3 linked regions of the Mus musculus genome follow. The protein of the gene in region 3 interacts with the protein of the main gene of each other region in a pairwise test. Links are inferred from orthologs where the notes say so. Each region holds a gene or a part of one and is shown on either strand. Other genes may lie near its edges. The genes, in order: Arf3, Mal2 and Arfip2.

Evidence for each region.
Region 1: the proteins of Arfip2 (region 3) and Arf3 interact in a two-hybrid assay, tested with the Homo sapiens proteins (2 studies listed by BioGRID and IntAct). The link is inferred for Mus musculus from reciprocal best matches to the Homo sapiens genes ARFIP2 and ARF3.
Region 2: the proteins of Arfip2 (region 3) and Mal2 interact in binary tests that used the Homo sapiens proteins (3 or more experiments, as listed by UniProt). The two-hybrid records come from large-scale screens. The link is inferred for Mus musculus from reciprocal best matches to the Homo sapiens genes ARFIP2 and MAL2.

The regions. Positions count from the first base shown.
Region 1 is NC_000081.6:98,742,580-98,746,226, forward strand, and holds part of Arf3 (ADP-ribosylation factor 3), read right to left. Parts: intron 251-3,647; 5' UTR 162-250; coding exon 14-161; intron 1-13.
Region 2 is NC_000081.6:54,588,276-54,591,922, reverse strand, and holds part of Mal2 (protein MAL2), read right to left. Parts: intron 3,610-3,647; coding exon 3,439-3,609; intron 1-3,438. UniProt on the Homo sapiens protein: Member of the machinery of polarized transport. Required for the indirect transcytotic route at the step of the egress of the transcytosing cargo from perinuclear endosomes in order for it to travel to the apical surface via a raft-dependent pathway.
Region 3 is NC_000073.6:105,637,603-105,642,048, forward strand, and holds the start of Arfip2 (arfaptin-2), read right to left. Parts: upstream 2,815-4,446; 5' UTR 2,643-2,814; intron 1,864-2,642; 5' UTR 1,822-1,863; coding exon 1,723-1,821; intron 1,504-1,722; coding exon 1,407-1,503; intron 726-1,406; coding exon 607-725; intron 439-606; coding exon 217-438; exon of another isoform or gene 124-216; coding exon of another isoform or gene 52-123; exon of another isoform or gene 1-51. Other genes in the region: Timm10b (mitochondrial import inner membrane translocase subunit Tim10 B), read left to right, coding at 2,991-3,020, 3,160-3,255, 3,426-3,558. UniProt on the Homo sapiens protein: Plays a role in constitutive metalloproteinase (MMP) secretion from the trans Golgi network. May have important functions during vesicle biogenesis at certain cargo subdomains, which could be predominantly utilized by secreted MMPs, such as MMP7 and MMP2.

The sequences.
Region 1 (3,647 bases), on a different chromosome or scaffold from region 3:
AGCTTGCCCTTACCAATGGTCGGGATGGTGGTGACAATCTCCCCGAGTTTCAGCTTGTAGAGGATGGTGGTCTTCCCGGCAGCATCCAGGCCCACCATCAGGATGCGCATCTCCTTCTTGCCGATTAGGCTCTTCAGAAGGTTCCCAAAGATATTGCCCATGATTACAGTGGCTGCTTTAAGTCAATAGGGCCCAGGGAGGGGCAGTGTAATCTGGTTTTAGCCTGGTCCTTGGTATGGAGGACTTGACCCTAGACAAAGGAAACACAAACTCCTTACCATCAACTGTTTGTAAAGACTTCATATTCGTGGAATTTGCCAAAGTCAAGGCTGGAGTTCACTCACTACTGGGTAAACACCAGAAGGGACTATGAATACCAAGGCCCACTCACACCCAGACTGAATGTCTGAGAGCAGAGGCAAGCAGGAGGCATGTAGGGCCCTTGCTATGCCAGCAATCTACTGCAATGACTAGGAAGGCTGTTTACTTCATCTTTGCAGAGCTGCACCTAAAAATCAAGAAGGTTCTAGTCGGAGATTTCTAAAGTCATTTCAATTCCAACGTTCTCTGTTACACCCCAGAGCACTGCAAACCCACTTGCCTCTCCTCCGCCAACCTTGCCCTGAGCTTTCTGAGGCGGCGGAGAGCAGAGCGGAATGAGGAGTGGCCCTGTAACTGCTGACAAGGCTCCTGAGGTTTACAGGCTGCTCTAGTCAGAGAGTGCTCCTTCCACACCAGTCTAACTGAGGAAGAAAAGCTGCAAGCAGGACTTCTAGAAGACACTGCTCATTTACACCCTGAGCTGCTGTTACTTCCCCTGTCGATACAGCTACATCCAGAGCTGGGATGGTGGGGAGCTTTCCATGGCTCACCCAGGGAGAGCTGTCCCATAAGGTCACCTGCAAGCAGGTAATCAGTTTGTCCCTCTGTCTTCCCTAGCCTTTTAGCCTGTTCTCCACAAAACAGGCAAAGTGACTTTAAAGGCCAAACCAGGCCCTTTGGTTCTTCAGTTCAAAACCTTTGGTTGCTTCAAGCTCCCTTTAGTAAAACCAAGAGGCCCTGCAGCACTGTGTTCCTGAAACCTACGAATGCTTGGTGCAGTTCAACAGTCCAATTAACTCTGAAGATCTCTATCGACCTCACCTACAGCTCAAGCAGACTGACTGTTCCTTCACCAGTGGTTCACAGCAACACCCGACACCCCTGCTAAACGGGTGAGGACAGCTGTGAGGCACTGTGAGGATGTAGGACAGCTGTGAGGCACTGTGAGGATGTAGGACAGCTGTGAGGCACTGTGAGGATGTAGGACAGCTGTGAGGCACTGTGAGGATGTGGGACAGCTGTGAGCCACTGTGAGCCACTGTGAGGATGTGGGACAGCTGTGAGCCACTGTGAGGATGTGGGACAGCTGTGAGCCACTGTGAGGATGTGGGACAGCTGTGAAGCACTGTGAAGATGTGGGACAGCTGTGAGCCACTGTGAGGATGTGGGACAGCTGTGAAGCACTGTGAGGATGTGGGACAGCTGTGAGCCACTGTGAGGATGTGGGACAGCTGTGAGGCACTGTGAGGATGTGGGACAGCTGTGAGCCGCTGTGAGCCACTGTGACTGCTATGTGACTGCTGAGAACTGACTCGGGTCTCTACAAGAACAAGCACTCTTGCCCGGAGTCATCTCTCCATCCAACAAAAATGTTTTGAGCTATGGTCCCTATTGCCCAGGCTGGTCCCAAATTCACTCTGTAACCAAGGATAAACTTGAACTTATGCTCTTCTTACCTCAACCTAAGTGCTAGGATTACAGGTGTGCACTGCATACTTGGTCTAAAAACGCACCTCTGAAACAGTCATGCAATGGGGGTTCAGAGCACTCAAGCCAGGCAGCTCTCTGTGCCTCAGAAGGCATGTGTCAGCGGGCAGCTTGTTCAGTGATCATCATATGCCAGCTGCTGGCACTCTCCAGAGTCTGGAAACCAGCGACACACACACCCCAAACCCAGAAGGCGAAGGAACAGGTCAGGACAGAGCGCATCTAAACCCAGGAATGTGAGAGGTGGGCAGCGAAGAATCCTAGTTACAAGGTGAATCAGGGAAGTCTGCTGGGAGTTTAGTCACTTTTTTGGAGAACTTCTTCAGGCTTGTTTTGTTTTTCTTGTTTTGTTTCCCCTATTCCTCTGTAGCAAATTCCAGACTAGTGCATAGAACTCAGATCAAGAGCCCCTAGGGACTGAAGTACTAGGCTGTCTAAAAATAAAAAAAGAACTGAGTGCAGAAGCGTTTCATCTTCAGACATCCCCAGACTAAGGAGCCAGGTGTGGTTCTCCCAGGCCTCCCAGCTCACACCCCAGCAACAGGGCTTGTTGGACTTCAGGACTCAATCTCAGCCATGCTGCCCACCTGCCAGCCCCGCCGTCCTTCCAGCCTCAACTCATCCAGTCAGATCTAAGGCCCTTACACATTCCTAAGGTGAGGGCAGGAAGGGGGGGGGGGAGGAGGAGTGACAGGGACACTTGTCCAGCTACTAAAATCAGGTCATCCCAACCTCAGCAACCTATAGTAGTTGGGTTTCTGGTACCATGACCTCCACAAGGAAAACTTTCTCCATGTTTCCTGGGATGGAGCAGAGAGAGCTGAAGAGCTGTTTTTAGGCTCTGGCAGGGATTTTACTTATATCACACACTTCTCCCTGTCTGTCCTCCATGACCACGCTATCACTGATTATATGATCATAGTGAGACCAGCTGCTGAAAAACAAGACCAGCAGCCAATAGCCCTGGCTCGGAACCTCTAGATAACCCTCCACTTCTCTGCTCAACTGTCATGCTGAAGTTACAATTCAAAGTTGACCGTAACCTGACAACAGAGACACGGGCTCTAGTGCAGCACTGTGAGGTGGAAGGAGGAAGGCCTGGAGAGAAAGAGAAGCTGGCTGCACATCTGTCCTGCAAAGTCCCTGAAAGATGTGAACTTCTCATGAAGCACACATTACCCTGTGACTTGCTTTTTTATTAATGGGTACATAGTCATCTCCCTAATTAAAATGTAACCCCCTCTGCAAGGTCTGTATCCTTTGTTTCCTTGGGCCTATCTTGTTTGTTTGTTTGTTTGTTTGTTTTCCGAGACAGGGTTTCTTTGGTAGTCCTGGCTGTCCCGGAACTCACTTTGTAGATCAGGCTGGCCTCGAACTCAGAAATCCGCCTGCCTCCCAAGTGCTGTCTTCACACTCATGACTTAAATCACTATGGATGATCCATCCTGCATACTGACATGAGCTTCAACCAGAGATATCCCTGTGTCATTTCTTCTGCCCAGTAGGATTGCTATCTATGGACTACAGTTGATCAATGTGCTGTAAAGCTGGGCATGGTGACACATACATCTGTGATCCCAACACTTAAGACCTGGAGGCAAGGAGATCAGAAGTTCAAGGCTACCCACAACTATCTATCAAGTTTGATGACAGTCTGGGTTAATGTGGGATGGAGGTGGGGGATTCATCAAGAATGAACATTGCACCAAAGCCACATGTACTACATGTCCATGTTCACTGCCTACTGTCATTGTCACCACATACCCATAATAAATGTGGGGGGGGGGGCATTAATGGAAATAAATCCAAGATGATGGGTAAGCCACAGACAAAAGCCA
Region 2 (3,647 bases), on a different chromosome or scaffold from region 3:
GATATTTTTATTGAACTATTTTGTTTATTGACAATTTCATATGTATATATAATATATTTATATAGTTTGATTATACTCAATTCCTTTTTTTTTTTACTTTTTAAAATTTATTTACATTCCAAATGTTATCCTCTTTCCAGGTTTCTCCTCTGCAAACCCTGTACCCCATCCCTCCTCCTTACCCTGCTTCTATGAGGGTGCTCCCCCACCCACCTACCCACTCCTGTCTCACTGCCCTAGCATTCCTCTACACTGGGGCATCAAGTCTTCACAGGACCAAGGGCCTCCCATCCTAATGATGCCAGATAAGGCCCCTTCAGCTCCTTCAGTCCTTCCTCTATCTCCTCCATCAGCCTGTGCTCCGTCTGATGGTTGGTTGTGAGCATCCTTGAAATCTTTATCTAAACCTAAACAGCACTTAGTAAACTCGATGGAGGCAGGAGCTGGAATGCCCGCCATGTGCTGAGCCCCTGCCATAGCAACAATAGTGTCACATGTTGTGTACAGCTATTGCATGGTGGATAATGTTAGTGGGAAAATACGACCTCTGAGATGGCCCAAACATTGAAACTGAGCACTAAAGTTGTGCAAATATCCCCAAATTTTAAAAGTCTACACATTTGAGGCACTCTTAGCTCTAAGCACCTTCTCAGCCCATACCTAGTTCCTTTCCTTAACTGACAAATGTACGAGAACATAGGGTAATCTTCCCAGATGAACTATGGGAAAAGTATTAGAGGTTTCCTTTTTAAAAAATTTTTTGTTTGTTTGTTTTGTTTTGTGTCACTGTGTTAGCCCAACGTGGCCTTGGACTTAAGACCTTCCAGCCTCATTCTACAGAGTGCTGGATTATGGATTTGCACCATCAGGCCCAGATTTCCAACAGTCACTTTGATATAGTGGTGAAATTTAAACAAGGAGAACATTTATAGTTTATTGCTTGATCATTACAGGTAATACTACAAACGGGAGGGAAATGCCAAGTTGGGAAGACCAATAAACTACTAAAAATGCTTTAGTACTGAAAAGAAGATTCAATATAAGCAGTGGGGAGGAATACGGTACGGATATCTGTCTAACAAGACCAGGAATGACATCATAAAGTATTTAAGCATTTAAATGGTACATGTATCAACCAATTAGAGAGAATACAGGATCCCGGAAACATTTCCAGATTGAACACTCAGTTGCTAGGCAATCAGGAGATCCAGGACTCCCATGGGAATGGTCTGGTGGTGTGTGATACAGCATTTGAGAAGAGCCAGCAAGATGGGTAATGATTATTAAGGCTCCTGAAGTACCAGCAGGAGCAGAGCGGAACAAAGACATGGAGCAATCTTTAAGTCGGATGCCTGAAGGACCTGCTTTCCCTTAGTAACTTTGGAGATCAGCTGATCCACTTGCAGATCTTCTCATGAGAAAGTCAGGCACTTACAAAGAGGAGATGAACTATTTCTCTGTACCCTAATTTGGGACTGTGGACTTTATCATATGATCAAATAACAAATATTGAAATTTGGGAAAATGTAGGAAAACACTACCTTAGCAACAGCATAGAACTAGAACCCTCAAAGTTCTGAATTACAAGCCTCTTGTCTTTAAGGAATTATAATTATTGTCATTTGGCGAGTATGGCCCAGTCACAAAGCTAAGCATTATGAATGCATTAATTCTATTATTCTTTAAGGGCATCTGGCAAGGCAGTTGCTATTACTTCCATTTTACAGAGGAGAGAATTGGAATACAGAGCAGTTAACTATTTTGTCCTAGGCAAATTAAGCTTCATGTGAAAGCCTGTTGAAAGCTGTGACCACTACACTAGACTGCTTTCTTAGCTTTATCCTAACCCATGCCACCCTTAGCCTGTGCGTTGTCTTAGAGGACAGCCCTATTTGCTGGATGCCTCTGCTAAAAACATTTGGATTATAGTTCTCCGTACGTTTTGTAAGTAAAACACTTTTCCTTAGCATTTGCCCCTAAAGCTGCTGAGCTGGGGGAATGCTATTATGCTCAAAAACAACATATAAAGATCAAATGATGGTCTGACTTAAGTTCCAAAACACCCCAGTGTGATTCAGAAGCTAAAGAGAGTTCTCTATGTGCATCACTAAAGCCCTGTCACTGTGGATTGGATTGGAATCATCCCCACCTGTCTTTCAAAATGCATCCCAGAGAATGAAGGACCATGCTATGAAAGAGAATCTCCACGCAACACATGGGGAAATACAATGTCAGTCATTTGCAGGGAATGGTAGCTTATCTTAAACATTGAGTTGAACATTGTGCTATCAATTTATCTTTCAGGACTCAGCAATTAATTTTAGAGAAGAACTAATGATAAAATATTCTCTTTTGAAAACAATATGGAGCTACACGTTTTCTGCAAAGCTTGGACAATCTGGCCACTTCTGTGTCTGTGAATTTCCTGGGTGTGAATTTAATCAATTATGCATTGAAAAATATTCAGAAAAATATGTGTCTATAGTAAATATGTACAGACATTCTTCTCCTGTCTTCATTATCCAAACAACACAGTATAAAAACTACATGCAGGGGCTGGAGAGATGGCTCACTGATCAATAGCACTTATACTCTGGCAGAGGACATTGGTTCCATTCCTAGCAACTACATATAGTTCTCAATCATCTTCTGGCCTCCACAAACACCAGGAATGCACAGAGATACACACAAGTAAAACATTCACACATAAAATAAAATGAATGAATCTTTTTTAAAGCTGTGTGCATAGCATTTACGATGTGCATTCTAAGTAACCTACAGATGATATAAAACTTGTAATACAATGCATGTAGATACTATGTAAATTATACCTGCATGCTTAATTATATATTTAAATATATACAAACATATGTATGACCTGAGAATCTATAGATGTATAGAATCTATAGTATCCCAGGTAAGAGGGTATGTTATGCAATCAGCGCCCTGCTTATTAAGGTATGACTAAACCCATTTAAATATACAAAGAAGAAATTAATGGAAAATTTCAAGGCATATGTAACTGAGATCTCAAAGGCATCTGTTCTAATGTTCAGTTATAATTCAATTCATCTGTTGTATGATATGAAATAGTTTTCAAGTAAATCATAAAAATAGCAGTGTGATTTTTCAGTTCTATCAATGTGGGAATTTTACAAACCAAGGTCCTGCTGTCCACCATACCCACACATGGGCACCATAGTGGCCTCCTCATGCTGATCTTGTCCACCATACCCACACATGGGCACCATAGTGGCCTCCTCATGCTGATCTTGTCCACCATACCCACACATGGGCACCATAGTGGCCTCTTCATGCTGATCTGTCTTCTCCATGCAGCAACAGAGAGAGTAGAGTCGTGGGCACTTCTGAACAGAGTGGGATATTTGTACATTTCTTACATTTTCTTGCATTAGGCTTATTATAAAAATTTCTTACCAGGAAGTTCCAGTTGGCATCAATCTGAGTCACCATACCAGAGAGGAACAAGCCCAGGAAGAGAAGCGAAAAGAAGAAAGCTGTCACCGACACAAACATGACCCATCCTTGGAGCAGAGGTAGAGGAACATTGGAGGAAGCAACCAAAATCCAGACAAGTCCTCCAAGCACCTGAAAGAAAAAAAAAGAACACAGTCGTCGCTTTGCAT
Region 3 (4,446 bases):
GGTGAGCCCTCTCCCACAACCCTTCCAACTTCTGGGCCTCTGTACAAACCCTTAGGCTGCCTCCATAGGTGAGTGATGCTGGGGGCAGGACTGGGCGCACCCCAGAGGGGTTCTCCCTGGGGGCTGCAGGAGGGAGGGAGGGAGGGAGGCTGAGGAAAGCCTGCCTGGAAGGACCAGGGCCCAGTACCCCCACCCTCTTTGTTTTGGCTGAGGCACCTGAAGCTCTGGGGACTTCTGGCTGAGGTCAGCAAAGGCATCACCTAGTGCATGCTGGGTCTGCAACAGGCTGTAGAGGTGGGCTGTCAGTGCCCGGCCCAGCTGCAGGACACTTTCATACTTGCGCTTCGTCTCACGCAGCAACTCAATCTGCAGCTCTAGCTCCAGATCCACAGTCCGGGAGCCTCGGCCAAATCTCTCTGATAACAGCTGCTTTGTGCACTGATTGGAAGGGGGGGGGGGTGAGGTCAGAAATCTAAACTCCACCCCAACAATGAACTACTCCAGCACCCCCGTTCTCTTAGTCATAGCAAAGACTACACAGTAAGACCTGGGGAAAGGGAAAAGGTCCCCACGGAGAATTTCTGAGGAGAAGCACTTGAATCTTACCTTATATGTGTTGATGCCCCATTTCTTGACGATGTCAAACTTTTCTCCAGCGATGCCCCGGGCCACCTCGTCACCAGGGCCAGAGGGTGACGTGCTGTGAGATGGATGTCGGCCAGACCCTAAAGGACCAAGTTCTCTGACACCAGTTTCTCTTAGATAAAACCATACACTTCTGTGGCTCACTCCTCCCCCCCACCCCCCCAAACACACGAAATGACCTCTCTGAAGAAGGACTATCTAGACAGACAACTGCATTCTTCTGGTCACTAGGGGGAACAAGGACTCATGTCCTGACAACCAAATCAATTCAATGTATGTATCTGGCATTCTTGGAGTAGGGTAGGAGTGTTGTTGGTGTACGAGATAAGCGGGAATAGAAGCAAACATGACATGTGCGATTGGCAGGATCAAAGATGGTGAACACAGAAAAACAGAGAAGTTGGCTTATATTTCTAGGTAGAATTCTAGCCAGTAAAAGAGTCTAAAATGAAACTCTGAGAAGCCTCACAAAGCTCCAAACTGGCCTTAAGCTCCTGAGTGCTCATAACCTTAAGGTCTTAACTTGGCTCAGATGGTGGCGGCAAGGAGGAGAAGACGAGTGAGATTATCTTCGAGACTGACTGGCCAGTGGGAGGCAGATGGGCAACTCTGGGAGCTGGCCTGGGACTGGACTGTCTATGAACTTCACACCAGCAGTTCGCAAGCTCTCCAGTCCAGGAGTCAAGCTTTCCTGTATGTGTCTATGTGCCTGCAAACTGTCTCAACACCCCACCCCTCAAGCCTATCTCTATCATTCATACCTGTGGGGATGAGTCCGTCACCAGAGCCCCCATAGCCACCAGACACAATGCTAGTTTCATTGAGGTTGGGTCCTGACACCATCACCTGCTGGAGGTCCTATAGGTCAGAGAAGAGGGGGGCACCTCAGGAACACAGGGATGGATGAAACATTTTGGGGACGGAGACAGTGCATAGTAAAGTCTGTACAGAACCATAAAGAAGATTTGAAAAGTATGAAGGAGTTTAGTTAACTGAAGGCTACCGGGACAGGGGAAATTAAAGGTTTATAAGTCAGGAATGTATAACAAAACAATGAGAAGAATCAAACAGAAGCACCTGCTCCAGCCCATCGTCTTCAGGAAGCTGCCCAGCTTCGCCATTTCCGTGGATGGGAATCTCCATTGTGGCTGCCTTCCCTAGAATCCCGTCCGTCATGGCTAGGGAAGGGACTGGAGTCAAGGTCTCCACCCCAGCACGCTGTAAAGCCCAACACAGACAATTCTGGAAACTGGCCAGCACTCCAGAACAAGGAGGCCTTCCCTGTGTTCTCAGAGGTTTCAGGGGTTGTCTTTGGGCTTGGGTGTCCTGGGATCAGCCACCACGGCTTTCCTTGAGTTTGTGTGTTTCTTCTCTTCTGAGGACATTATCTCTACAGATGCATGCATACCAAAGCCTCGGGTGTCTTCTCATAACCCCCCTACCTCGCCTTCAGTAACCATTCATGCATTCAGTCATTCAACAACTATCTAGTGAGTGTCTATTATGAGTGAGATACTGAGGCAATGGGATTATAGCAGTGAGGACCAGAGGGGAGGTCTATGCTCTCTGGGAACTTAACCCTGCAGAGGCAATGTTTACCAGAACCCTTTCCTAGGCTCAGACTCTCACTTGCCACTCAGGCATGCTCTACAATCCTGGTCTTTCACATTCTTTGGTGTTCCTTCCCCTCTTCCTTCAGCCGGTCTGGGCTCTTCCTTTCTCCATCTCATGCACCTGACTCCCTTAGGCCCTCCCCAGCAGGCCTTGGTTGAAGCAGTTAGTGAATGTTCCTGGTGTCAGGTGAAAGGCTCTCTTTCCCAGGACACGGGCAATCCCTTCCAAAGTCAGCTGAAGCCTCCCAGATGTGAGGGGCTCCCCCCACCCCCATACACCTGGGCATCAGGTGTGTCCTCATCCTTGCCAAGGGCTCAGGGCATTTTGCCCTCAGTACAGGTTCGTGCGTTCAACTTCCCTTCGTCCAAGTATGTCCTTCTCACCTGGGCCGGGCCGCTCTTCCCCTCAGGGCGCGAGGCCCGGACCGCGCGGGGACCTCGGGTTCCAGTTCTCGTCGCGATCCTAGCAGCAGGTCAGAGATTTGGCGGAAGTGACATGCTCTCTGGGCAGAAGAAGCCGGCCACGTCGCAGAGAAAAAGGGCGGAAGTGACGTTTGCAGTTGTGGGCAGGACGAGCCTGGAGCTACGCCTTCAAGCTCTTGGGGAGTAGTGAGAGTTTACTTCCGGGGCGACTCTGAGAGCTCTAACCTCCCCCCTCCGCCCCCCCAACCCCGCGCCACCCTGCCACCCCGCCACGGGCGGAAGTGACTAGGGCTGTGCGCCCTTGGCGTGATGGAGCAGCAGCAGCAGCAACTGAGAAACGTGAGTGAGAGCGCAGTTGCTCTCTGGGTTAGACGTGCAGTTTGTTTCCAGGGGTACACGCAAGAACCCGAGGGGGAGACGGGCTGTGCATCCCGGGGAGCCTTAGCGGTGGTGAAGTCGTGGTTCCCTTTTCTCTCAGTTGCGAGACTTCCTGTTGGTCTACAATCGGATGACAGAACTGTGTTTCCAGCGCTGTGTGCCCAGCCTGCACCACCGAGCTCTGGACGCTGAGGAGGTGGAGACAGTGTGGGGGTCCCAGAGTTGACAACGTGACGTGACACCCTCCCCCAGCCCCCCATCTTCTCCCTCTTTCTTGACCTCACTCCTAGGCTGGGGACCGGGAAGGAAGGAGGCGGGCTTGACTGGACCCCTTTTAGTTTCTACTTCCCTCCGTCTTCCTTCCAGGAGGCCTGCCTGCACAGCTGTGCTGGGAAACTCATCCATTCTAACCACCGCCTCATGGCCGCTTACGTGCACCTCATGCCCGCCCTGGTCCAGCGCCGCATCGCGGACTACGAGGCTGCCTCGGCCGCGCCAGGTATTCCTGCAGAACAGACCAGAGACTCGCCATCAGGCAGCTAGCCGTCCCTGGCCCCTGGAGAGAAGGTGCTTGGATGGGCTCCTCTATGGACCTTGGGCTTATCTAAATGTGTACAGAGAGATTGAGCTTGAAAGCTGGGTGCTGTTGCTCCTTTTCTTGGAGCCAATAAACCCGTTTTTACAGTCTGGTTATTTGTCTATGGGTACCAGCCTTTATTCTGTCATCTAGTGCATGTGTACTGCCTTTAGCCCTGGAGGTTGATGTAGTGCCTTCTTATGTGTAGAAGGACAAATTCAGCATTCCCAGCACCCCAGCAAAAGCAGGGATTATGGGTAGAGCTTTAAGGTTAGTAATAGCAATGGGAAATTGGTTCCAAAAGGAGAGCTCTCAGTGGCTGTCCTTGGGACTAACTCAAGGACCTGAATATACATTGACTCATAACTAGTTTTTATTTTCAGCTGTCAAAAAGAATTGCTGTGAACCTAGGGGAAGAAGGTAAAACCAAACAACAAAAGCAGGAAGAAAACTCTACCCCCTTAGGCTTTAGCCACTGCTTCCTAGGAGGTCAGTGACAACAGAACAAAGACAAGCCTCTAAGAATTCAGGAATGTTGACCATTTCCCCAATTTACTCTCTTAGTACTTCCTGCCTTTGTGAAATTAGCAATAAAGACTTTAAACAAAGAAGTGCTTTCTTGTCTTCAGAGTCAGTCAGGAAGGCAGCATTGGTCAAACCTCAGGAAGAGAACTCGAGGGAGAGGGAGATGGTGTTAGGGAGGGATGGTTAAATGCCATCTGTGCCCCTCCTCTTCGGGTTTGACTGCTTGTCTAATCTAGTTTCAGCTCTCTACCCTGTGCCTTACACTAGTCTCACTGTAACTGCTCT